Linked DNA regions of Saccharomyces cerevisiae S288C. Changing the gene in region 2 together with the main gene of any one other region gives a genetic interaction. Each region holds a gene or a part of one and is shown on either strand. Other genes may lie near its edges. The genes, in order: LAT1, LSC2, HTD2 and CEM1.

The links.
Region 1: mutations in LSC2 (region 2) and LAT1 together harm fitness more than expected from each alone (negative genetic interaction), as found in Saccharomyces cerevisiae (4 studies listed by BioGRID).
Region 3: mutations in LSC2 (region 2) and HTD2 together harm fitness more than expected from each alone (negative genetic interaction), as found in Saccharomyces cerevisiae (3 studies listed by BioGRID).
Region 4: mutations in LSC2 (region 2) and CEM1 together harm fitness more than expected from each alone (negative genetic interaction), as found in Saccharomyces cerevisiae (3 studies listed by BioGRID).

Annotation. Positions count from the first base shown.
Region 1 is NC_001146.8:489,673-493,471, reverse strand, and holds LAT1 (dihydrolipoyllysine-residue acetyltransferase), read right to left. Parts: upstream 1,950-3,799; coding exon 501-1,949; downstream 1-500. Other genes in the region: TOM7 (Tom7p), read right to left, coding at 1-106; ribonuclease H2 catalytic subunit RNH201, read right to left, coding at 2,232-3,155; lysine--tRNA ligase MSK1, read right to left, coding at 3,356-3,799. UniProt on the Saccharomyces cerevisiae protein: The pyruvate dehydrogenase complex catalyzes the overall conversion of pyruvate to acetyl-CoA and CO(2).
Region 2 is NC_001139.9:975,754-982,195, forward strand, and holds LSC2 (succinate--CoA ligase (GDP-forming) subunit beta), read right to left. Parts: upstream 3,567-6,442; coding exon 2,283-3,566; downstream 1-2,282. Other genes in the region: YAP1802 (Yap1802p), read right to left, coding at 1-828; MPC3 (mitochondrial pyruvate carrier), read left to right, coding at 1,583-2,023; SDA1 (Sda1p), read right to left, coding at 4,012-6,315. UniProt on the Saccharomyces cerevisiae protein: Succinyl-CoA synthetase functions in the citric acid cycle (TCA), coupling the hydrolysis of succinyl-CoA to the synthesis of ATP and thus represents the only step of substrate-level phosphorylation in the TCA.
Region 3 is NC_001140.6:227,392-233,505, reverse strand, and holds HTD2 (hydroxyacyl-thioester dehydratase HTD2), read right to left. Parts: upstream 2,537-6,114; coding exon 1,694-2,536; downstream 1-1,693. Other genes in the region: DYS1 (deoxyhypusine synthase), read right to left, coding at 210-1,373; SSF1 (rRNA-binding ribosome biosynthesis protein), read right to left, coding at 2,810-4,171; RNA-dependent ATPase RRP3, read left to right, coding at 4,469-5,974. UniProt on the Saccharomyces cerevisiae protein: Mitochondrial 3-hydroxyacyl-thioester dehydratase involved in fatty acid biosynthesis. Required for respiratory growth and for normal mitochondrial morphology.
Region 4 is NC_001137.3:276,693-283,011, reverse strand, and holds CEM1 (fatty acid synthase CEM1), read left to right. Parts: upstream 1-3,385; coding exon 3,386-4,714; downstream 4,715-6,319. Other genes in the region: VHR2 (Vhr2p), read left to right, coding at 1-307; THO1 (Tho1p), read right to left, coding at 646-1,302; glycerol-1-phosphatase GPP2, read left to right, coding at 2,330-3,082; FCY22 (purine-cytosine permease), read right to left, coding at 4,848-6,319. UniProt on the Saccharomyces cerevisiae protein: Possibly involved in the synthesis of a specialized molecule, probably related to a fatty acid, which is essential for mitochondrial respiration. Is essential for oxygen uptake and the presence of cytochromes A and B.

The DNA.
Region 1 (3,799 bases), on a different chromosome or scaffold from region 2:
CAAATGGGATCCAGCCATAATGTGCTACATTATGAGTCAAAGTTAAAATTTTGGAAATACGTTCTTTAGATTCATCGCTTAAGATAAAAGATGGTAGGAAACTCATGGTTTATTTGTTAAAAGCTAATTTTGGCAAATATTGAGAGATAAGAGGGAACTAGTTTCTTTCACCGAACAATAATATACGAAAGTAGTATGCTAAACTTTATGCGTTATATCCTATATCCCACTCCTTTGTTAATTTCAACCAATTCCACATGAGGTGAAAAAACAAAGATGTTGACGCACCGTTTGACGTGATTTATTTATATCATTTTGAGACAGAAGAGAGAGAGGATTTAGATTCGAAGACAAGCGAAGTATTTCAGTATAATGTATACGTATTTGAGTATTTGAGTATTTTTTTTTTTTTTTTTTTAATTTTTTATATATACAAAATAACAAATTGATATTTTCTCCAAGATACGCATTTACTGGCGAATTTTATTTTCATTCTAACCTCACAATAGCATTTCCAAAGGATTTTCAATAACAGTTTTCAATTCCTTCATGAATTCTGCACCTTTGGCGCCATCAATGGTTCTATGATCAAAGGTCCCTGTTATGGTAACCTGGTTATCAAAGGAGAATCCGTTCTCAGCAGCGGCGTCTTCCACAGCGACCCTTTCAACAGTAGCGATGGCCAAGATTGTAGACTGTGGTGGGTTGATAATCGAAGTAAACATGTTAACAGCATTATTCATGCCCATATTGGATATGCAAATGGTCCCACCTTGGAATTCCTCTGGTGCCAATTTGTTTATTCTGGCACGCTTGACTAGTTCCTTGATTTCGTTAGAGATTTGCGACAAGCCCTTGGCCTCACAATTCTTGACAATTGGTGTCAATAATCCTGTTGGTGTGGCAACAGCGACTGAGACATCGACATTCTTGAATTTACGGATAACGTTCTCATTAGGTAACCAGTAGGCATTGGCATCTGGCACCCTCTTAGCCGCAACAGTGATGGCTTTTACTAATAGGTCATTAATGGACAGTTTGTACTTGTCGTTTGCTGTAGCGTTCAAGGACTGTCTCAATTTCAAAAGTTTGGAGATGGATATCTTGGAGGAAACGATGTATGATGGAATGCCTTGAGTAGATTGCAATAAACGTTCTCCAATGATGCTTCTCATGGTTGAAATTGGAACATCCTCATATGATGCTGTAGAAGAAGGCGATGGAGCAGAGCCAGCAGTAGTGCTTGAGGTAGCGGCGGCAGGAGTGGCGGCGGCAGCACCACTGGTTTGAGAAGACTGCTTAGACGACTTTTCTAGATATGACTCAATGTCAGCCTTGGTAATTCTACCGCGGGGTCCAGTGCCGTGAACATCCTTCAAAGAAATACCCTTTTCCAAGGCGATAGTCTTGGCAAGTGGAGAGGCAAAAATCCTACCTTGAGGAGCAGCAACGTCAGATTTCTTAGCTTCAGGTGCAGAAGTCTTGGTCTCTTCAGCTGGCGCTTCTTGTTTCTTTTCTGCCTGTGGTTCGGCAGGCTGAGCCTTCGTACTGGTCTTTGAATCAGAACCTGAATCCTCCAGCTTAAAGTCCTTAAAAGCTGGCACATCAGCTTTGTCCTCCACATAGACGGCAATAGGCTTGTTGACAGGAATGTCCTTTGTACCTTCAGGAACTAGAATCTTGGCTAAGTAACCATCTTCTTGGAACTCAAAGTCCATTTGAGCCTTGTCTGTTTCTATTTCGGCAATAACTTCACCGGGAGACAATTGGTCACCTTCCTTCTTAGTCCAAGCAGCAAGATTACCTTGCGTCATCGTAGGAGACAGTGCCGGCATACCAATAATGGTGTGCTCTGGGTACGATGCGTAGCATCTCAATTGCAGTCTCAATGATCTGGTGAGTACTGAACTTCTGGATATTCTTGGAACCACCCTGACAAAGGCAGACATAGTACGCTAATAACTATTAATTTTACTGGATGCAGTTTACAGCAATGGAAGATGTTGAGCGTGAACAAACAGGAAACGTAACAGCCTCTCTTCTAGTCGTTCCGGTTGGTTGTCTCGACCTCTTGTTGTTCTTTGCGTAACACGGGGGGTGAGAAGGGCCGGTCACGCTTCACGGATAGTAGAAACGGCAAAGCATAGTAGCAGATGACTTGTATGAGTTATTGAAGTTATGACATATGTAGTATTACATGAAGATATATAGTATGTGCAAACTGGAGGTGATCACCGGTACCAATTATCTAGGGTTCTCAGCCTCTTCCTTCTAACAGGCTTAGCGACCATCTGGAGCTGCAATTGCTTGGTTTTTTGTGCGGCGTTCTTCCTGCTGTCCATATATTGTTCTTCCCACTTGATAGGGATACTATTCTTACTGGCGTCATCTAACAGAGTCTGGCATGTCTGCCATGAGAATCTTACCATGTTGGCGGGCCAGCCCATAAGACTTGTCTGGTTGCGCTTCAGCCATGCGACTGTCTTCGGGTCGGAGGGGTATCCAGAACCCAGGATCTCATCGGGATCCCTCTTCAAGGATTCGACTAGTATATCTCTGGTCACTTTTGCAACGACACTCGCCACACTGACCATGCAGTAGAGCGAGTCTGCCTTCTTGGCGACCGTAAACTTGACACCAGGAAATCGTTGCTCCAGTTTCTTCTGATAGGACGCTGGTGGTCCAACAGTATCCACATACACGTGACTGAGCTTCACGTTCTGCTTTATCACGCCATCAATGAGTGCCATTGTGACATCGTGCGCCTGCTCATTCAAGTTATAGTTTCTCGTCGGTGGGAACTTGCTCATTCCTCTAGAGATATCCAACGGAGTGATGCACGTAGTTGCGTAGCCGATCTGGGTTAGTTCTTCGTTGTCCTGGTATATCTTGGAAAACAGCATTCTTCTGATGGGATCTGTAAGTTTTTTAGAGTCGTCAAACTCGTAGTTAGGGATTATAGTTTCGTCCTGATATTTCTGTGTAGAATAGGCTACTGCGTAGACCATTGGCCCTAATACGGGCCCTCTGCCAGCTTCATCGATACCCATTATTATTGGAGAGTCATTCTGTTCCAAGAGCGCGCTTGGGACAGGTGAAAAGTACGACTTAGTGTAAGGAGACTCCAAGGATGCTTCTACCGTGGGGGGTACCATTTAATCGTATCAATTTGGTGTGCAGTAGTTGTTTTCAAGGTTTTTCGACACTCTCATTAGCTATAACTGAATATTTATATTGGATTTTTCGCGTAGCGTAGTTTATTGGTGTAGAGAAAAAAAAAAAATTAAATGCCATTCTAATTATTTACAGTATATGTCTGATTTATTTACAAAAGCATTGGCAGGCGTCGCAAAATTTACTGCCTGTTTACATCATCCACACAGCCAAAGGGCAGAACCTCTTCTATCCTCTTCTTGTCGCAAAATAGCATGCACAATCTATCTATGCCAAGGCCAAAGCCACCTACTGGAGGCATACCGTATTTCATCGTCTCAACATACTGGTAGTCAATAACAGGCGATAAGGTCTCAGTTTTGTTTCCTGTCAATTCGTTAATCTGCTTTTGTTGTAGAAACTTCTGCAGTTGTAATTGGGGGCAATTTTCCTCTTCGTAAGCATTGATGTATTCCTTACCTTTGATGAAGACTTCGAATCTCTTCGTGACTTGCTTATTTTGCGGATCCGTCTTGGCTAAGGGCGATAATATTGCAGGTTGATGGTATATTACCGTAGGCAAGGTTGATTGACAATGGCGCTGCTCGAGGAACACGTCCGATAGTTTATTTAGGATTTGCAGCGA
Region 2 (6,442 bases):
TTCAGAAGGTTCACCTCTTTGTCTTTTTGTTTCCTCTCTCAAATGCTCCTCAAGGGAGTTAATTAACTTTGTAGTAATATGTTTGATAACGGGGATTTTCAAACCGACAGCTTTTCCTATTTTTAGGTATCTAACAACATATTCTGTCATATCCACGAAATCCTTATAGAGATCCAGTGTTCTTTTTGCGTGCTCAATGGACAATTCGAAGAATGATTCTAAAAGTGTAATGACACCTTCATTAAGAGCATTGTACAGACCTAGTAAATCTTGTACTAACAATTGGAATGCATACAATAACAAATGGTTTTCTAAATCTGAAACAGAGTATTTATTCCTTATCAAGGCATTAATTTGAATTTCCAATGATTCAACATGATCTAGCTCTTCATCCATTGAAAGCTGGTTCTTACTGCCCAGCTTTAGCGAGGAGTAATTGTCTCGTAGGTGATCCATACCTAGCCTGCCATACTCTTCACAACGTGTTTTTAGGTATTCGTCGTATCTCTGCAAAGCCCTCATATCATTGGAAGACCACTTAGTAGTATGCGAAATCTTTCTCAATTGGAAAACATCCAAATTATGGGAATAGTGCCTTAGCGTGACATCTTTTTCGCCTTGTTGTATCATCAGATGCAACACAATCAATGCCTTATAAACAATGGTCCAGGCTGTATCAGACAACCTTATATCCAATGCGTGGGTAATCTCTTGCAATCCTCTTGCGCTCGAAGTGCCCGAGAGAATAGGGTCCACATATTTTTGCTTTGGAGGGGCCATCTTTATTTTGGTCGCCCCTTTAACCAACTTAGTATATAATGAAGACATTGTTTCACAAACACGCCTCTATATCTATTATAGGGGTAGCCGAGACAGTCGCGCTTGTATGCTTGATATTGTTACTCTCGTAGATGTTAGCAAGCGTAGCAAATTGGTACTCCTGCTACAGATTTATTTTTTCTCCTTCTAAAATTATAACTCAAGCAAGAAGCCCTAATAACAAGTTAACCAGACTAATAAGTCGACTTTTTCCTCGAATGTAGAAAAGAAACTTTTCTACGCAGCTGCAAACTTAATCTATCCCTCCACCAAAGCAAAATGAAAACAAAGCCATACTGGGAAAAATCTGAAAAAAAAAATGGTAGGAGTAAAAGAAAAGAAAAAATAAAGGTTACCCTGCAGTTTGGATAGTCGGGTAACATTTGGCCCTTTTCCTCCTTGATTGGATATTATTACCCCGATTACCCCTCATCTTGGGAGTGCCCCGCTTTTATTTCTCCCGCCAATCGGCTATTAACGGCTTTACGTCATTCCGTGGGCGGGTCAAGCGAGCCGCTCCCTGGTTTGGTCACGCAAAACCGAAAGGCTCAAACAAAACTAAGGCCATCATATATATATATGCGGCTGCGTGCGTGTATTCTCCCGGATAATATGGTGCGTTGCAATTGGAGTATTGGAGAAAATTTTCTTTTCCCTTTCATTACGGCGGAAATACTTCATATAAAAAAAAAGAATACAATCAGTCTTTAAGACTATACGCATAAGCATTCAAGACACATAGAAACACAAACCTATATTTTTAATGTCAGCATCAGCTTTTAATTTTGCCTTTAGAAGATTTTGGAATAGTGAAACAGGCCCTAAAACAGTACACTTCTGGGCCCCAACTTTGAAGTGGGGGCTGGTCTTCGCAGGGCTAAATGATATTAAGAGGCCTGTTGAGAAGGTATCAGGAGCACAAAATTTATCTTTATTAGCGACGGCACTGATTTGGACGCGTTGGTCGTTTGTCATCAAGCCCAAGAACTATCTGTTAGCTTCCGTCAATTTTTTCCTGGGTTGCACTGCAGGCTACCATCTAACAAGAATTGCTAACTTTAGGATACGGAACGGTGATTCTTTTAAACAGGTTATTCACTACATAATAAAAGGGGAGACTCCTGCAGCCGTCGCAGCAAAGCAAACTGCATCCACATCGATGAACAAAGGTGTGATCGGTACTAATCCGCCAATAACGCACTGATTACGTAAACGATAATATGTTCCTGAACTCGCATTTTTTTAATGATTTTTTATGACCTCTTATATATTCTTTCATTATATAACCTCTATATTACATCAAAAGATGGAAAAATATAAAAAAATTAAAAAAAAAAAAAAGAAATTTTTTCCAAAAGAGTATATTTATATGTATGTATACATGTAGGGAAAATAAGAAACTTTATTAATAGTAAAAAAGCATATATACTTTATTATTAACTCTTTTGTTTTTCTCGAGAAGCTTAATTTTGGGTCAATTCAACGACCTTTTTAGCAGCAGGATCTAATTCATCAAACGAATAAATCTTCACGCCTGACTTATTGATAATGTCGCGGCCTTCTTCTACTTTGGTACCTTGCAAACGTGCCACAATGGGGACCCTAACTTCTAGTTCTCTGGCGGCTTCTACCAGCCCCAGGGCAACATAGTCACATCTTACGATACCGCCGAAAATATTGACGAAAATTGCATCTACGTTCTTATTGGATAAGATCAATTCGAAACCTTGTTTGATGGTCTCAGGGGTGGCACCACCACCACAATCCAAAAAGTTCGCAGGATCGCCTCCATTTAATTTGATGACATCCATAGTAGCCATAGCCAAACCAGCACCATTGACTAAACATCCAATGTTACCCTTCAACTTAACAAAATTCAAATCATACTTCTTTGCCTTAACTTCATCAGGATCTTCTTGTGATAAGTCCCTCCAGGAATATATCTTTTCCTGTCTGAATGATGCGTTATCATCAAACCCAAATTTGGCGTCTGTACACATGATTTTGTGGGTTGGATCATGTTCAATTTCACTCAAAGGGTTAATCTCCACTTGTGTAGCATCCCTTTCCATGAATATTTTATACAAATTGGAAACAGCTTTTGCTGCCTCGTCTTGTGCATCGGGACTGAAACCGAGACTCTTGGCAACATCCTTGGCCATTTGTGGGCTCAATCCCTTTGAAGTTTCAATTGAAAATTTCTTTATAGCATCTGGGGTTCTCTCAGCCACCTCTTCAATATTCATACCACCTTGACTGGACGCAATGATCATCGGTTTCTTGGTTTGTCTGTCCATTAGAATAGATAAATAAGCTTCATGCTTTGTATCTACTCTTTTCACTATATATACAGCAGATACTGGCTTCCCCGCTATTCCCGTCTGTTTAGTAATCAGGTTATGATTGAGCATTTCTTTTGCAACATCCTCTGCCTGCTGAGGACTTTCGATCATGTGAACACCGCTTTTGTAACCGGTGTCGAAGTGACCTTTACCTCTACCTCCGGTCAATGCCTGCGCCTTGATGACCAGTTTGTTAGTGTTTAATTTCTTGGCTGCTTCGAAAGCCTCTTCGGGAGTGAACGCTGGAAATCCTTCTGGAGTACCAATACCGTATTCCCTCAATAACTGAGCTGACCTGTATTCATGAATTGACAAGTGTCTCCTTGCTTGTAAAGCAGCTTGCGCGTTTAGCCTGCTTAATTGCCCACACTTTGAAATTAGGGATAAGGATTTTCTTGAGTACATTTTGTTCAGTTGCAATGCTTCAGTATTTTTTTCGATTGTATTGACTCAATCCTTATTAATCCTAACTACCTAAAAGTCAGTTACAAAAAAACTGGACTATCGCTCTATAGTCACTGTTATTTTTCGAGAGAAAACGTCAAAGTGCTGATAAGGAAAACGTCGATCTTATATAAAACCTCAAAGATGTTGACTACGCGGCAATTGAAAGGCCAACCAACTTTTAGAATACTCACTCCGCCGCTGCGGGGAAAAGCCGAGAATTCCCGATGAACACATAATCGATACCAGTTGGAGCATTTTTCTCTGTACCAAGACATAAAAAGAGTTTTTTTTAGTATCTACCTGGCTTTGGTGTTCCATTCAAGGTAGAGAAGTCCTCATACAGTTGGAGAGATGAATGTATCTGTGTATATGTATGTATATATTAATATGGCTACGATGTCGTCTAATACCCCTTCTTCTTTTGTTTGGTGATGTGTGCACGTAACACTTTTTGCTTGTCTCGTAGTGACATTTTTTGTTTACCTCTAACAGATCTCTTGTGAATAGACATAACAAAGTTCTTCCTTCTTTCTTTTTCTCTGTTGGTAGTAGAACGCATGTTGTCACGCTTACCGCGTCTACTACCAAATTTGTCTCTACCTTCACGACCTTCCAACACCTTTTGTAATCTTTCCTCACGAGACTGTTTGTATTTGATAGGGCCTGTTAGTGTACTTGCATCAACTAACTCTTCACGCTTGTCTTGTTTGTGGATACCCATTATTTTAGCAACGCTTTCCTCATTACGCAATTCTTGTAGTTTAGCGAAATCTGCCGGAGTTAAAATACGTGTAGAAGCAATTTCACGGAAGGCAGCTTCGGGATCTATATCTGCATCTTCTTGCTCATCCTTCACTTCTTTTTCATCGTCATCATCGCTTAGTTCCAAATCGGAATCTGATTCCTTGCCCTTAGCATTGTCTTTTTCATCGTCACTATCTTCCATATCAACGTCATATTCTTTATCACTATCCATGGTGACCCACTCACCGTCGACATCGTCTTCTTCGCTATCGACATCTACTTCCCAGTTGGCATCAGCGTCTTCATTTTCACTCTCTTCACCATGTTCTTTCTTCCATTTGGCTAACAGTTCGATACCAGCAATCCCTTGAACACTGTTGTCGGCACCAAATTGCGGTCTTTTTGAATCTTTACCTCCTTTCTTGGCTTCTTGTACTTCCATGGCGGCATTCTTACCACGATCCTTCTTCTTTAGCATTTCTGGTGCCACGTCTCTATACAACGCTATCAATGACTTGGCAGCCATATTGACACCTTTAGCTTTAGACCCCTTATATTCTACCAGATCCTGTAGTAGAATCTCATCGATAGCCAAAGGTGCACGAGAGCATATTTCTCTAATGGTATTAATGCCTGCAGCAGCGACTTCATTGGCAACACCGTCTGATACAAACTCGTCTGCAATCTTTCTCACCATGACATTTATAACTTCAGGAGGGACAAGATCATGACATGCTTGGGCACATGCGGACATAATTCTTGTAACATCTCTTTGTTTCGGAGTTAAGTACTTTAAAAAAAAAGTATAAATTCCTAAAACAATTAACTTATGGGTACCAATCAACCTTGATAACAGCTGCATCAAAGATATTTTTTGTTCCATGTCAAATTTGTTTTTCGTTTTGCCTGAAAGATGTTCCTTAAACAATTTTTCGGCAAATCCTTGTGGATCTCTCAAAAGGTGGATAGCACTGAAGTTTAAATACCCTTGAGGAGCACCCGGTCCGTTCTTCTTCTTCTTCTTCACAGTTTTTATGGCATTCTCCAGCTTCTTACCACGTCTACCCGTTTTTTTATTGACTTGCATCTTATGCCTTAATGCATCTAAATCAAACCCATCCTCATCCTCGGAATTTTCTTCAAAATTTTCTTCACGTTCTCTGTCAGCATCCAAAAAAAACATCACACCAGACATGACAATCTTAACATCCTGATGTAATGCTGCTTGGGTCATAATTTCTACTGTTCTTGAATCATCCCAAATACCACGTCTCCAAAGTTCTCTGGTTAATTTTGTGGCCCAGATTCCCTGGGAATCTGGTTGATCTAACAAATTAAAGCAAACGGCCTGCGTAGATTTGTTCAATTTTTGATTTTTACCATTAGTATTACAACTTTTTAATAAAGAAATTAAATTTGTATAAATGATTTTCCTCAATTCCTTGGCGTGTGAATTAACGCCGAGTGAATTACCATGGGAAGAGTAAGCAACCAATAAAGGAAATAAGCTTTGAATTAATTCCTCAGCAGTAATGACGTCCTTATTCCTTAACATCGTCAAACAACTTAAGATTTTTTCTTTCAATTCAAATGGCAAGGACTTATGGTGTTCCAGCAAAAGCTGCTTTAATTCAGACGGGAAGTTTGCAGTTTCACGAGGAAAACATGAGCAGACTTGAGATACGAAGCCAACCAATTCAATAAGTTGCGAAGTTGAAGTGCTCATGGTGGTACCGTTAGTACCTGCCATTGTAGAAGATCCATTTCCTACATCGAGCCCATTAGTGGCAGCTGCAGAATCACCTCCAGCAAGCCCATTTAACATAAAAATGTCCCTTAGCGATTCATAATGTGCATATTGTTGAAGAAACTCCTCTTGATAGGACTCTGGGTCACGCTTTACCAAATTCTGTAAAAGAATGATATTTGTTGGGAGCATAGCTGCTCTACTTCTTCTACCCATTGTTGATGCCCTTGATTGGTATATTCAGTGCGTCTTGTGCTTCCTCCTTAACTATTATTACTTATTCAAAAAAGTGACGTTTGATATGTTTTTTTAGTGGTAGAACGTTCTATCTGTTAAGCGTGTT
Region 3 (6,114 bases), on a different chromosome or scaffold from region 2:
CTTACATAATGTCATGGCTATGTACACACGATTAGTACGTATAGAAATGCAATTGACTCATCTTTATTGCAGACATTACATCATATTTTGTTGATATTATAGTAATATGTTCATTTTTTTATTTATCTCTATATTAAAACAAAACTTTTGCACTAAAAAAAGAAATAGTACAGATTCATTTTTTTTTTTTTCATCTCAAAATTCTCTCATCAATTCTTAACTTTTTTGATTGGTTTACCACTGGCAAAGGTAGCAGCAACAATCAATGGAAGAACAGTGGTGACATCAGCAAAAAGTTTGACGGATTTGGCTTCAGCCTTGATCTTACCCCAAGACACAGCTTCGTCAGGTCTTGCACCTGCATCAGAACCATCGTATTCTTGACCAGTGTTAATGTAAACGGCATAATCAGCACCATTTCTCATCAAACAAGCATTGGCAATGTGGTGCTTGATCAAACCACCACCCAAGATGATCATACCGGCTCTGTAAGCGGCCATGGACATTGAATTGATTTTGCGGATATCTCCTACAATGTCAACTCTTAGTTGTTTTGGAGATGCTTTAAAAGTATGGAAAAACAACATGTCACCGATTGAACCATCAGTCAAAGATGGACAAAAGATTGGAATTTTATTCTTGTGGGCCCAGTACAATACGGAGGATTCGTCGTTGATTTCCTTACCAAAACGATCTATCATCTTAGATGGGGTCCAGATTGGTGAATCCACGTCTTGGTTAGCCTCTAAACAGTCAGCGCCATGTTTCTTTACGTATTCATCTTGTTCTTCCAACATCTTATCCAAAATTGGGACAATCCATTCTTCAAACTTACAGTAGTTATCATTTGGAACAAGCAAGTTACCAATACGATTCATACCTTGGTCACGCAAAGATTTACCTTTCAAAGCAAATTCACCCAAGTAAGTTGGAGCAAGACATTTGATCAAATCTTCTTCCACACCACCAGCAGAAGTAACGACAGCATCAACCATTTTGTGTTGCACCAAATAACGTAAAGTTTCACGTACACCGGAACTGATCAAGTTAGAAGTATAACCCATGAAGATAGTAGTCTTTTGGTACCCTTCCTCATCGAAGCAACCTTTCTTTTCATGGTCATCCAATTCGTCAATATGCTTACCTCTCCATGATCTCATACTATCAATAATCTCACAGGCAGTACCAACAGAACTAGCTTGGAAACCCATGGTCTTCATAGCTTCAATTAAATCAGTTGCTCTCATATTAGTGGCTTCAGGCTTTGAGTAATCAATACCTTGAACCTTAACGAAGTCATCTGGAATAGGAACAGATGCTTTCAAGACAGCGTCTTGTAGTAACTCTGGGAGTTTTTCGTTGATATCGGACATCTTTTTTGCTTTGACTTGTATATAAGTTAACTAAGCAAAACACGACTTTACTCTGCAGTTAGATACAAAACTGATAGAGGGAAGTACTTTGCGTCAAAATGGAAATATACATTACATTTAATTTTTCACTTTACTTTTTATTTTTTTTTCCCACCTTTTTTTCAGTTCTTCCCGTAATGCGTTTACCGTCAACCTGGTGATGGCGAGATATTATGGTAATCTCGTTCGTGACCTTCCACTGTTCAGCAGCTACTAGTATTATTTCAAGAGACAAGAAACACACAGGTAGTGATTATCTGCAGAGAGACAATTACTGGTAGTCAACAGAAAACATCAGCTTTCATGTAGACTAAGTTGGCTTTCTGGAGGTCCCTAATTTGAAATGTGTACATTCCGCTCGAAGAGCTTAAAGACTGACATATGCTCAAAGTAGTGTTTGGATATATATAATTCAAATTGCGGTATCGCAACTGTCTGATTGGTTGTTCGAGAAAAGGTTGGATGCATTTCTGTAGTAATTGGACCGAGAAGGGTCCTTGCATGATAATATCGTCGTAGCCTTCAACATAGCGACTGTACTCTTTGTCCCAATGAATTCGGTGCGGATTCAAAGACATCTGACCATAAGCTACAATATCCATATCAGTAACAGTAAAATTTTTTAAGATCTTATAGTTCTCCTCTCCTACGGGCATCTTGACTGCAGTCTTGTTTGCGGGTGAATTGGTGTACATTAATACCCTTCTCTCGAATAAGCAAATGTCCATTGGACTCGACACATTTTCGGGCCTTTCTTGTAAAAGGGTTCTTTCAATACAGACAACATGTTCATCTCGTATTTTTTTTACGTATTTGATTGATTCGTGGCATGTATACTCCTGGTCTAAGGTGACTGGTAAATACTGAACAAGCTCTCCTTGTCCCCAAATCCTTCTACGGTAGCGTAAATCAGGGTTTCCTAGCAAACTTGCAGGATTTTGATAGTTAAAATAACCATCTCTATCCAATTTTTCGAATGATGGTGGGAAGAACAGGAAATGTTCTCCCAGTTGAAGATGCTTCGTTGCCTTTGATACAGGGAGTCTCCTACAAAGTAAACTATCAAACGCTTTGGTTCGGTGACTAGATAAGACATCCCTGAAAATCCACGTTTTGGATTTCATGCTGATAAGCTGTCTTTAGATAAGTGGACGATTGCCCACCTTCAATGTACCAGCCACGCTCATGTATCGAAACAGTAGCTTAAAATGGCGTAAAAAAGGTAAGATCGAATTTTTTTTCACATGCCTTCTGAGATCTACGTTTCCTTTGGGCTATGATTTAAAAGACAAAGAGTTTATATGTATCAAGTATGCAATTTATCTAAAGTGAAGAAGTATACGTGCGTTGGTGGATAGCCAGGCTTAACTAAAATTTTCTTGGTACCGGAGAACAATTTATTCGACCTCACTAAATAAGTCACTATCTAGATCCTCTGGTACGCTACCATAATGTTCGCTGTCACTTGATGAAGACTCATCATCGCTCATCGCATCATCTTTTCCTTGACCTTCACCTCCTTCTGCTGCTCTAGCTTTTCTTCTTTCCAATTTACGTTGCTTTTTAGCGTCTTTAACAGCCTTCTTTTTAGCAATGTTTTCTTCTTGTTCCTTCTTTCTTTGTTCCTTCAGCCTCATTTTTGCAGCGTGTCTCTTTTCTAAAGCTTTGATTTCTTCGCTTGATTTTTGAACAAATTCATGATGTAACACTTTACCTGAACAAATACCTTCTTCTATCTTGACCAGTTTTAAAGTTAATCTTGGTCCTAATTCAGTTAGTTTGATAGCTTTCTTACGTGGGGTTGGTTGCAAGTTTTCTGAAGGCTTAGGTTCCTCCATTTCCACATCTTCTTCTTCTGTTTCTTTTTCACGCTCTTTATTATCCTTCTTTTCGACCGGTGTTCTTTGGGACTTCAAACTTTGAGAATGCTTTGCCTTCACGTCCTGATTATCAACTACTCTCACGATAGCGTCATCTTCAATTTCAGATTCTGATGTATAGGCGCCTAAGTCGTGATCTAATATCAAAGAAGAAATATCTTCTTTTCGATGCAAATTCGGCACTGTTTTACTTAGATTATTTTTGGCTTTATAAAGCCTTTTTAGGTTTCTAGAGATCTCTACTTCTCGAATGTCAATAAAATAGTGGCGCATAGAAATTTCCCCTGTTTCCCTGTCTTTATTGATCATAAATACACGTTTGATAGAATTCAAAGAAGTTCTCGCAGGATTCAGAGGTGGGAAAATATTCTGAAACATAGAAACAATGACCTTCTCCACGTTTACATCCTGGTCGTCTTCACCAGATCTTTTGGATGTGGAAAACCCGTTTAGCACTAGCAATGGAGGATTTAATACATCATCATTATTCAACGATTTAGGTCTCTTCAAAAATTTTTTGATATCTCTACCCAGAGAATAGTCCAATACTTGAAAAGTAACAGTAGGACCTTGCGGAGTTCTAGCTATCTTTAGGGAGACATTTCCTGTTTTTTCAGATTGAGTGAACATAAAAAGATGCGTAACACCTAATGGGCCACACATAACAACGAAATCCTTCAGTTTATTGGACTTGCGCTCTTTCAATTTTATAGCCGTATGTGGTTGCATGATTTGGCGGAAGTCCTTTACTAATTGGTTCAGAGAATGGTTGGCCAAAGAAGTTTGACCCACTCTGATTACCATTGACTTAGGTATACCTTGTTCCTGCTCAGGTGTAAGCTGTGCATGTGTTCTTTTCTTTTGTCTTCTCTTGGCCATCTTGAAATTTTATTGTCTGCTATATCTGGATTATACTCTTTTATTATTAAACATACTACTCACTCAAACCCAGATATCGAACTAATATCGCGATGAGATGAGCTTCTTCGTCTACTTTTTTTTTTTTTTTTTTTTCAGTGAAAAATTTCAATTTCGTCTAAGGCGATAAAAATGAAAAATTTAAAATTAATCAATGAGCATTTAGCAATTGTACATGGTATACACAGAATTGTGACATATCTTAGAAGCAATATATACCAAGATTCTGTTAAGTACTTCACTGAATCAGCTATAAAAATGTCCAAAATTGTTAAGAGAAAGGAAAAGAAGGCTAACGATGAATTAACTTCTTTAGCAGAAAAGATTAGAGCAAAAGCTTTGGAAAATCAAAAGAAGCTTATAGAAGCAGAAAAGGAAGGTGGTTCAGAGTCCGATTCTGAAGAAGATGCTACTGCTGAAAAGAAAAAGGTTTTGAAATCAAAAAGCAAATCCACAGTATCAACCCAAAATGAAAATACTAATGAAGATGAATCTTTTGAATCCTTTAGCGAACTGAATCTGGTCCCCGAATTAATTCAAGCTTGTAAGAACTTAAATTATTCCAAACCCACTCCCATTCAATCTAAGGCAATTCCTCCCGCGTTAGAAGGTCACGATATAATTGGACTTGCGCAAACAGGTTCTGGTAAAACTGCTGCATTTGCTATTCCCATTTTGAATCGGTTATGGCATGATCAGGAACCATACTATGCGTGCATTCTAGCTCCAACAAGAGAATTAGCACAACAGATCAAAGAAACATTTGACTCATTAGGATCCTTAATGGGCGTGAGATCGACATGTATTGTGGGTGGTATGAATATGATGGACCAGGCCAGAGACCTGATGAGAAAGCCACATATTATCATTGCTACACCTGGTAGATTAATGGACCATTTAGAGAATACCAAAGGGTTTTCACTGAGGAAACTGAAATTCTTGGTTATGGATGAAGCTGATAGATTATTAGACATGGAATTTGGACCTGTTCTTGATAGAATTTTAAAGATCATCCCAACCCAAGAAAGAACCACTTATCTTTTTTCCGCTACTATGACTTCCAAAATTGATAAATTACAAAGAGCAAGTTTGACAAATCCTGTGAAATGTGCCGTGTCAAACAAATACCAAACCGTAGATACATTAGTGCAAACACTGATGGTCGTTCCAGGTGGTCTTAAGAACACATACCTAATTTATTTATTAAATGAATTTATTGGAAAGACGATGATCATTTTTACAAGAACCAAGGCCAACGCGGAAAGGTTGTCAGGATTATGTAATTTGCTCGAGTTTAGTGCCACTGCGCTACATGGTGATTTGAATCAAAACCAGAGAATGGGATCTTTGGATCTTTTCAAGGCAGGTAAGAGGTCTATTCTCGTGGCTACAGATGTCGCTGCGAGAGGGTTGGATATTCCATCAGTGGACATAGTTGTAAACTACGATATTCCTGTGGATTCCAAGTCCTACATTCATCGTGTGGGAAGAACCGCAAGAGCTGGTAGATCAGGAAAATCTATCTCACTAGTATCACAATACGATCTGGAATTGATCTTAAGAATTGAAGAAGTTTTAGGTAAAAAACTACCGAAGGAAAGTGTGGACAAGAACATTATATTGACCCTAAGAGATTCCGTCGATAAGGCTAATGGGGAAGTTGTAATGGAAATGAACAGAAGAAACAAGGAGAAGATTGCCAGAGGTAAGGGAAGAAGAGGAAGAATGATGACAAGAGAGAATATGGACATGGGAGAAAGGTAGGCTTTGTAAGCATGGTTTACCTTTTAACGCCCAAAAGTTCAATTTAACTTAGAAATATTTATCTATATGTTCATATATACATCTATCAATATCACATAAAATTGCCTATCATTTCTTATTCGTTTCCTATTTGTTTCTCG
Region 4 (6,319 bases), on a different chromosome or scaffold from region 2:
TATCTATCACATGACACTCCATCAATATCCCTTGGTTTGTAGTAATAAACAGTCCAATCCAATGAGGCCACACTCCACATCTGAGGTCTTGAGTGCACATTCTTCAACGAAAGATGCAAGCACTCCCGGTAAAGAAGAGCCTCGAGTGACGAGGTCAAGCACATCGGCAGATAGCACTATCATTACATTGCCTTCAATTGAAGTCCCAAATACGTACGATGATGACAGGTTAAAGATGTTGAGCGCGATATCGTTGCAGATTGAAAATTCCACCTTTTCCAAACCATTCAGTACTATTTCAAAATAAATAGGCCCGCTTGCATCATCCCCACCTGCATTACTATGAACTATTTATCATAGCTTATTTTTCCTCTATCATCATTGTAACTTGTACAAGAATGTTCAGTCTGTAAATCTCGCCGCTCATTCTCTACTAGCACTTTACAACGTTGACAGCCACTGTATGTGTAATACAGTGAACCGCCGACTCTTCGGATTTAATAACACAGATTTATTTAGAATAATCTACACATGTTTACGTATGCAACAAATTTTGCACCTTCATATACAAACAACTGCGGTCGTTTAAAAAGTGGGAAAGAACCGAAACTAGAATGAAAAACTCCACCAAAACGGCTTGAGCCTTTATCTTCTGTAACCAGAGCGGTTGCCTCTCCTGTTTTTACTTACTCTGGAGCGGTTGTTTGCATTTTTGTTTCTATTTTTAAATTTACCGTTATTGCCACTTTCAGGTTCATTTTTCCTACTGACAAGGCCCAGTTCTTCAGCCAACTTGCTATTCAAGTCAACACCAAACTTCTCCACACGATTTATCTGTCTTTGTAAAGAGTCAATATCCGCTTGATCTTGACCGAATTTGTTAGCGCGGTGCAGTTTCTTATTTAAAAGATCCAATGCTTTGGCCTTAATTTCTTCTGGTGACAAAGCGGGAGCAGCAGTGGAAGCAGCAGCTTGTTCGTTCTCTGAAGCAGTAGCAGAAGGTCCATCAGAGGGCTTTTGAACGTCCTTATTTTCCTCCTTGGGTTCGTTTGTTTCTTTAGGCTCGCTTGAAACTTCCTTTTTTTCAGTAATGTTCTGGGAGGCTGGTTCTTCTATCGCCGCAGGTTCTGACCCTTGTTCCTGGTTTTGTTCCTGTGGAGAAACTTCACTTTCACCCTTTGATTCTTCATCGTCCTTTATCAGTCTTTGAACTAGTTCATTCTTCAATCCGCCTACAGACAGATTTCTCTTGGTCAGTAAATCTTTCAATTGAACAACAGTAAGGGAAGAATAATCTGCCATTGTAAGTGCTTGTGCTGGCTCCAAGAACAATTCTAGTGGTGAAAAAAATTCTATTCAATATACAGATATCTTTGTAACTTCTGAAAGTAGCGCATCCTGAAAGGACACATTTGAAGAGTCACTATTCAACTTTCTTCTCCCATTCAGCATTATCACGCCCTTCCACCAACGCTGGTTGCATTGTGTTTTCTTACTTCGGCTAGAGACGCCGGGTAATAAAATATATATCCTCGAATGAACCGCTGGCCTCGGCCATTTTCATATGACTTCATATCATTAATATGGCCGTAGGTTAAGCAATGCTACGTGAAAGATACCAATTCCAATCGTCTGCTTTCTCTCAAGAGGAGACTTTGCGTTCTTTAAAGGAGCAGAGAAAGAGGGAAACGGTGAAAAACTTCAATATTGATAACATCCATCAGCGTCTAAATTCCTATGCCTCCTTCGAAAATGGTCAATGTTATACCCTCTCCCATTAGATATTACCGTAGCGTACGTATTTGGCCCTGTCCTTTGGGGTTTGGCCTTCTCAAGTATTTTGGCACCTCGCCCTGAACGAAAAGCTGGCACTTTGTCCCCAGCCAAACTCTTCTCTCTAATATCGTCTTTAACGACAAGGTAAAAAGATTTCTGCAGTGTTCCGTCTGCGTCATCATCTGTGCCCCACAATCCGCGGCGTTTCCGTGTAAGCCGTCAAGTGAGGACTTTTCGGATGCTGAAAGAAAGTACGCTCGGAAAAACTACATAGCTGCCCCCCTAAACGGGCCTCCCACGTGACGTAAAGTAGGAATAATAAGAAGCCAAGTCGTTTCTTTTTATTCTAAATAAGTTCGTTTCTTTTGATGTTGTCATTTTCAGAAATATATATATATGCGCTTAAATACACAAGCTAAAACAACATAGTTAGGATTGCCAAAGGTTTCTTTTCTACTCAATTTGGTCTAACTCTTTTCATATTAATAGCGCCAACCAGCTAGTGTTTACCAGATCAGTGGAAAAACATAAAACAATAAAAACAATATTCGGAATGGGATTGACTACTAAACCTCTATCTTTGAAAGTTAACGCCGCTTTGTTCGACGTCGACGGTACCATTATCATCTCTCAACCAGCCATTGCTGCATTCTGGAGGGATTTCGGTAAGGACAAACCTTATTTCGATGCTGAACACGTTATCCAAGTCTCGCATGGTTGGAGAACGTTTGATGCCATTGCTAAGTTCGCTCCAGACTTTGCCAATGAAGAGTATGTTAACAAATTAGAAGCTGAAATTCCGGTCAAGTACGGTGAAAAATCCATTGAAGTCCCAGGTGCAGTTAAGCTGTGCAACGCTTTGAACGCTCTACCAAAAGAGAAATGGGCTGTGGCAACTTCCGGTACCCGTGATATGGCACAAAAATGGTTCGAGCATCTGGGAATCAGGAGACCAAAGTACTTCATTACCGCTAATGATGTCAAACAGGGTAAGCCTCATCCAGAACCATATCTGAAGGGCAGGAATGGCTTAGGATATCCGATCAATGAGCAAGACCCTTCCAAATCTAAGGTAGTAGTATTTGAAGACGCTCCAGCAGGTATTGCCGCCGGAAAAGCCGCCGGTTGTAAGATCATTGGTATTGCCACTACTTTCGACTTGGACTTCCTAAAGGAAAAAGGCTGTGACATCATTGTCAAAAACCACGAATCCATCAGAGTTGGCGGCTACAATGCCGAAACAGACGAAGTTGAATTCATTTTTGACGACTACTTATATGCTAAGGACGATCTGTTGAAATGGTAATCCTCTAAAATCGAACATATTTGAGTAATAATTCTCAGATACAGTCCTATTCTATATTCGCCACAAAACAAGTAATGATGCTAAAAAACGACACATTTATAAAATCACATCTTATTGATTAAATAAATACGTAGATAGATTTTTTTTTTTAAAACATATAGTGTGCTATTATTTCTGACTCTGTCTCATCTCAGAAAAATAAATGATAAAAAAGGAAGTAAAATCCTTAAACGTTATCAGGTTATTAGCAACTTGAAAGTGACAGGAGCCACAACGGATTAAAATTTAATTTCTAGTAAAGAAATGTCAAGAAGAGTGGTTATCACAGGATTGGGCTGTGTAACGCCGTTGGGAAGATCATTAAGTGAGTCATGGGGGAATCTGCTCTCTTCCAAAAATGGACTCACACCAATCACATCTTTGCCCAACTATAATGAGGACTACAAACTCAGAGAAAAAAGTATCCCATCAACGATAACAGTGGGGAAGATTCCAGAGAATTTTCAAAACGAAAATTCAGCCATCAATAAACTGCTGTTCACTAGCCAGGATGAGAGAAGAACCTCAAGCTTTATCAAGCTAGCACTACGTACAACTTATGAAGCGCTTCACAATGCTGGTCTCTTGAACCCAAATGATATAACCATCAATACATCTCTGTGCAATCTGGATCACTTTGGTTGCCTGATAGGTTCTGGTATAGGATCCATTCAAGACATATACCAAACTTCTCTACAATTCCATAACGACAATAAAAGAATAAATCCATATTTCGTCCCTAAAATCCTTACAAATATGGCAGCTGGTAATGTTTCCATCAAGTTTAACCTTAGAGGATTATCCCATAGTGTTTCCACAGCATGCGCAACAGGTAATAACTCCATTGGCGATGCATTCAATTTTATTCGGTTAGGCATGCAAGACATCTGTGTCGCCGGTGCAAGTGAAACGAGTTTGCATCCGTTAAGTTTAGCAGGTTTCATCAGAGCAAAGTCGATTACTACAAACGGGATCTCTAGACCCTTTGATACACAACGTTCTGGATTCGTACTTGGTGAAGGATGCGGAATGATTGTCATGGAATCGCTAGAACATGCTCAAAAGAGAAATGCAAACATAATTTCTGAGCTCGTGGGCTATGGTTTAAGCAGTGATGCCTGCCATATTACCTCCCCTCCTGCTGATGGAAATGGTGCCAAAAGAGCAATAGAGATGGCTCTAAAAATGGCTAGATTAGAACCAACTGATGTTGACTACGTCAATGCACATGCTACATCAACTTTACTAGGCGATAAAGCAGAGTGTCTGGCAGTAGCCTCAGCACTCTTACCAGGAAGATCCAAAAGCAAGCCACTGTACATATCCAGTAACAAAGGTGCAATTGGCCATCTTTTAGGTGCAGCTGGCGCCGTAGAAAGTATATTTACAATTTGTTCCTTGAAGGATGATAAGATGCCGCATACCTTAAACCTGGACAATGTTCTGACTCTAGAAAATAACGAGGCCGATAAGCTACATTTCATAAGAGACAAACCTATTGTGGGAGCTAATCCGAAGTACGCATTATGCAACAGCTTCGGATTTGGAGGAGTTAACACATCTCTTCTCTTCAAGAAATGGGAAGGGAGTTAATATTATTAAACTTATATATATATCCCATTATAATCGTTTTTGAATTATATGCTATCTATTCGAATGTCGAGATTTATCCATTAAAACCAATCATTTCAATGATTAGCAAAAATATTAATCAATTAACATTTAGTCATCGACCGAAATATTTGAGTTCTAAAGGTCTTACAATGTTATAGATGATGAACGCCCAACTTCCGCCTAACTCGAACCCAATGTCACCGCCGTACTCTCCGATCAAACGACTGATCTCACCAACCCAATAAGTTTGGCACATACCCAACGCTACTCCAAAGGCACCAGCAATTAAGGCAGCAGTACCTGCGATACCGATAGGTAGATGCTCCCAATTATCCCAATCATCAATATTGTAAGCACTGAAGGAACGCCTATAAATAAAATGCTCTGAACATGCAATGGCAATATAAATAGCCAAATAATAACCAATGGAATCCATAAAATTCTCCATAAAGCCGTCAAAGTAATAGGTAGCAGGGATGGAAATACCTAAAGTGGCAGCATTACCTGCCATTGTCCAGACTACTCTTGGTATTTTAGCCAAAGGTGCCCACAAAGCTTGAGCGGATAAAGCGACAGTGTACATTCCAGGGACATTATTAGCAACAGTTGAAAGAGCCAACAAAACACAGCAGAATTGACCGAATCCGTTTAGAGAGTTAGGGACCAGGATAGCATATATGACACCACCCATGGCGTTTTTATCATAATATGACTTCCAGGTTGGGTCATTAAGGGCCGCCATACCGCAAGCAGCACCAAGAATCATGGTGAAAAATAGAGGGAACGCTAGACCGGCTACTACGGAAAAAAAAATTTTGTATTTACTTGTGGTCTTTGGCATATAAACAGTGTAATCTGCTGCATAAGTCGCCCAACCCGCAGCTGACCCAAAAACAGATGAACCAAAAGAAAGAACACCACCTGCAGTAGTTGCACCCCCTACCCATTCACCACCTTTAAATTTTCCTGATCTCGATAGTTGGGCAATAATGACCAAAAAGGCAGCAAAATTGGGTACCCACGACCATTTTTCGTATGCATGAACGACACTGTAACCAAAAAAAGTCACAAGCACGGTACCACCAGCAATAATCAAACAACCTGCCCAAATAGGACAGTTGTGCCCAGAGCCTTCATTCACCATATTCAAAAGTTGAGCAGAAACAGAAATATTTAAAACACACCAACCGACACAAGCAATGACATTAACAAGAGAGAAAAATCTTGCTGTGATGTTACCAGCCAAATATCTCGATAGAATCATCTGTCTTAGGCCCAGTTCTACCCCAAAAAGTGAGAATAATGCAACAGGGATCAAACCCAAAATATTGAAAAAAATGATAACTAAAACACTTTGGCCGAAATTTAGGCCAAATACTAGAGGACCCAAGGCACCTACGGAATAGGCTACAATCACCATATTAGCTGAAAACCATATAGTGGCGGCATTGAGTATCGAGTCATCATTTTTTTCATCTTCTGTAACTGGTTCAATACCTTTCGTCTCAGCATTTAAAGCAGCTGCAATCCTATTGAAAAAGGACGGCTTATTATCAATGAATTCGTTGGTTCTATGCAATTCTA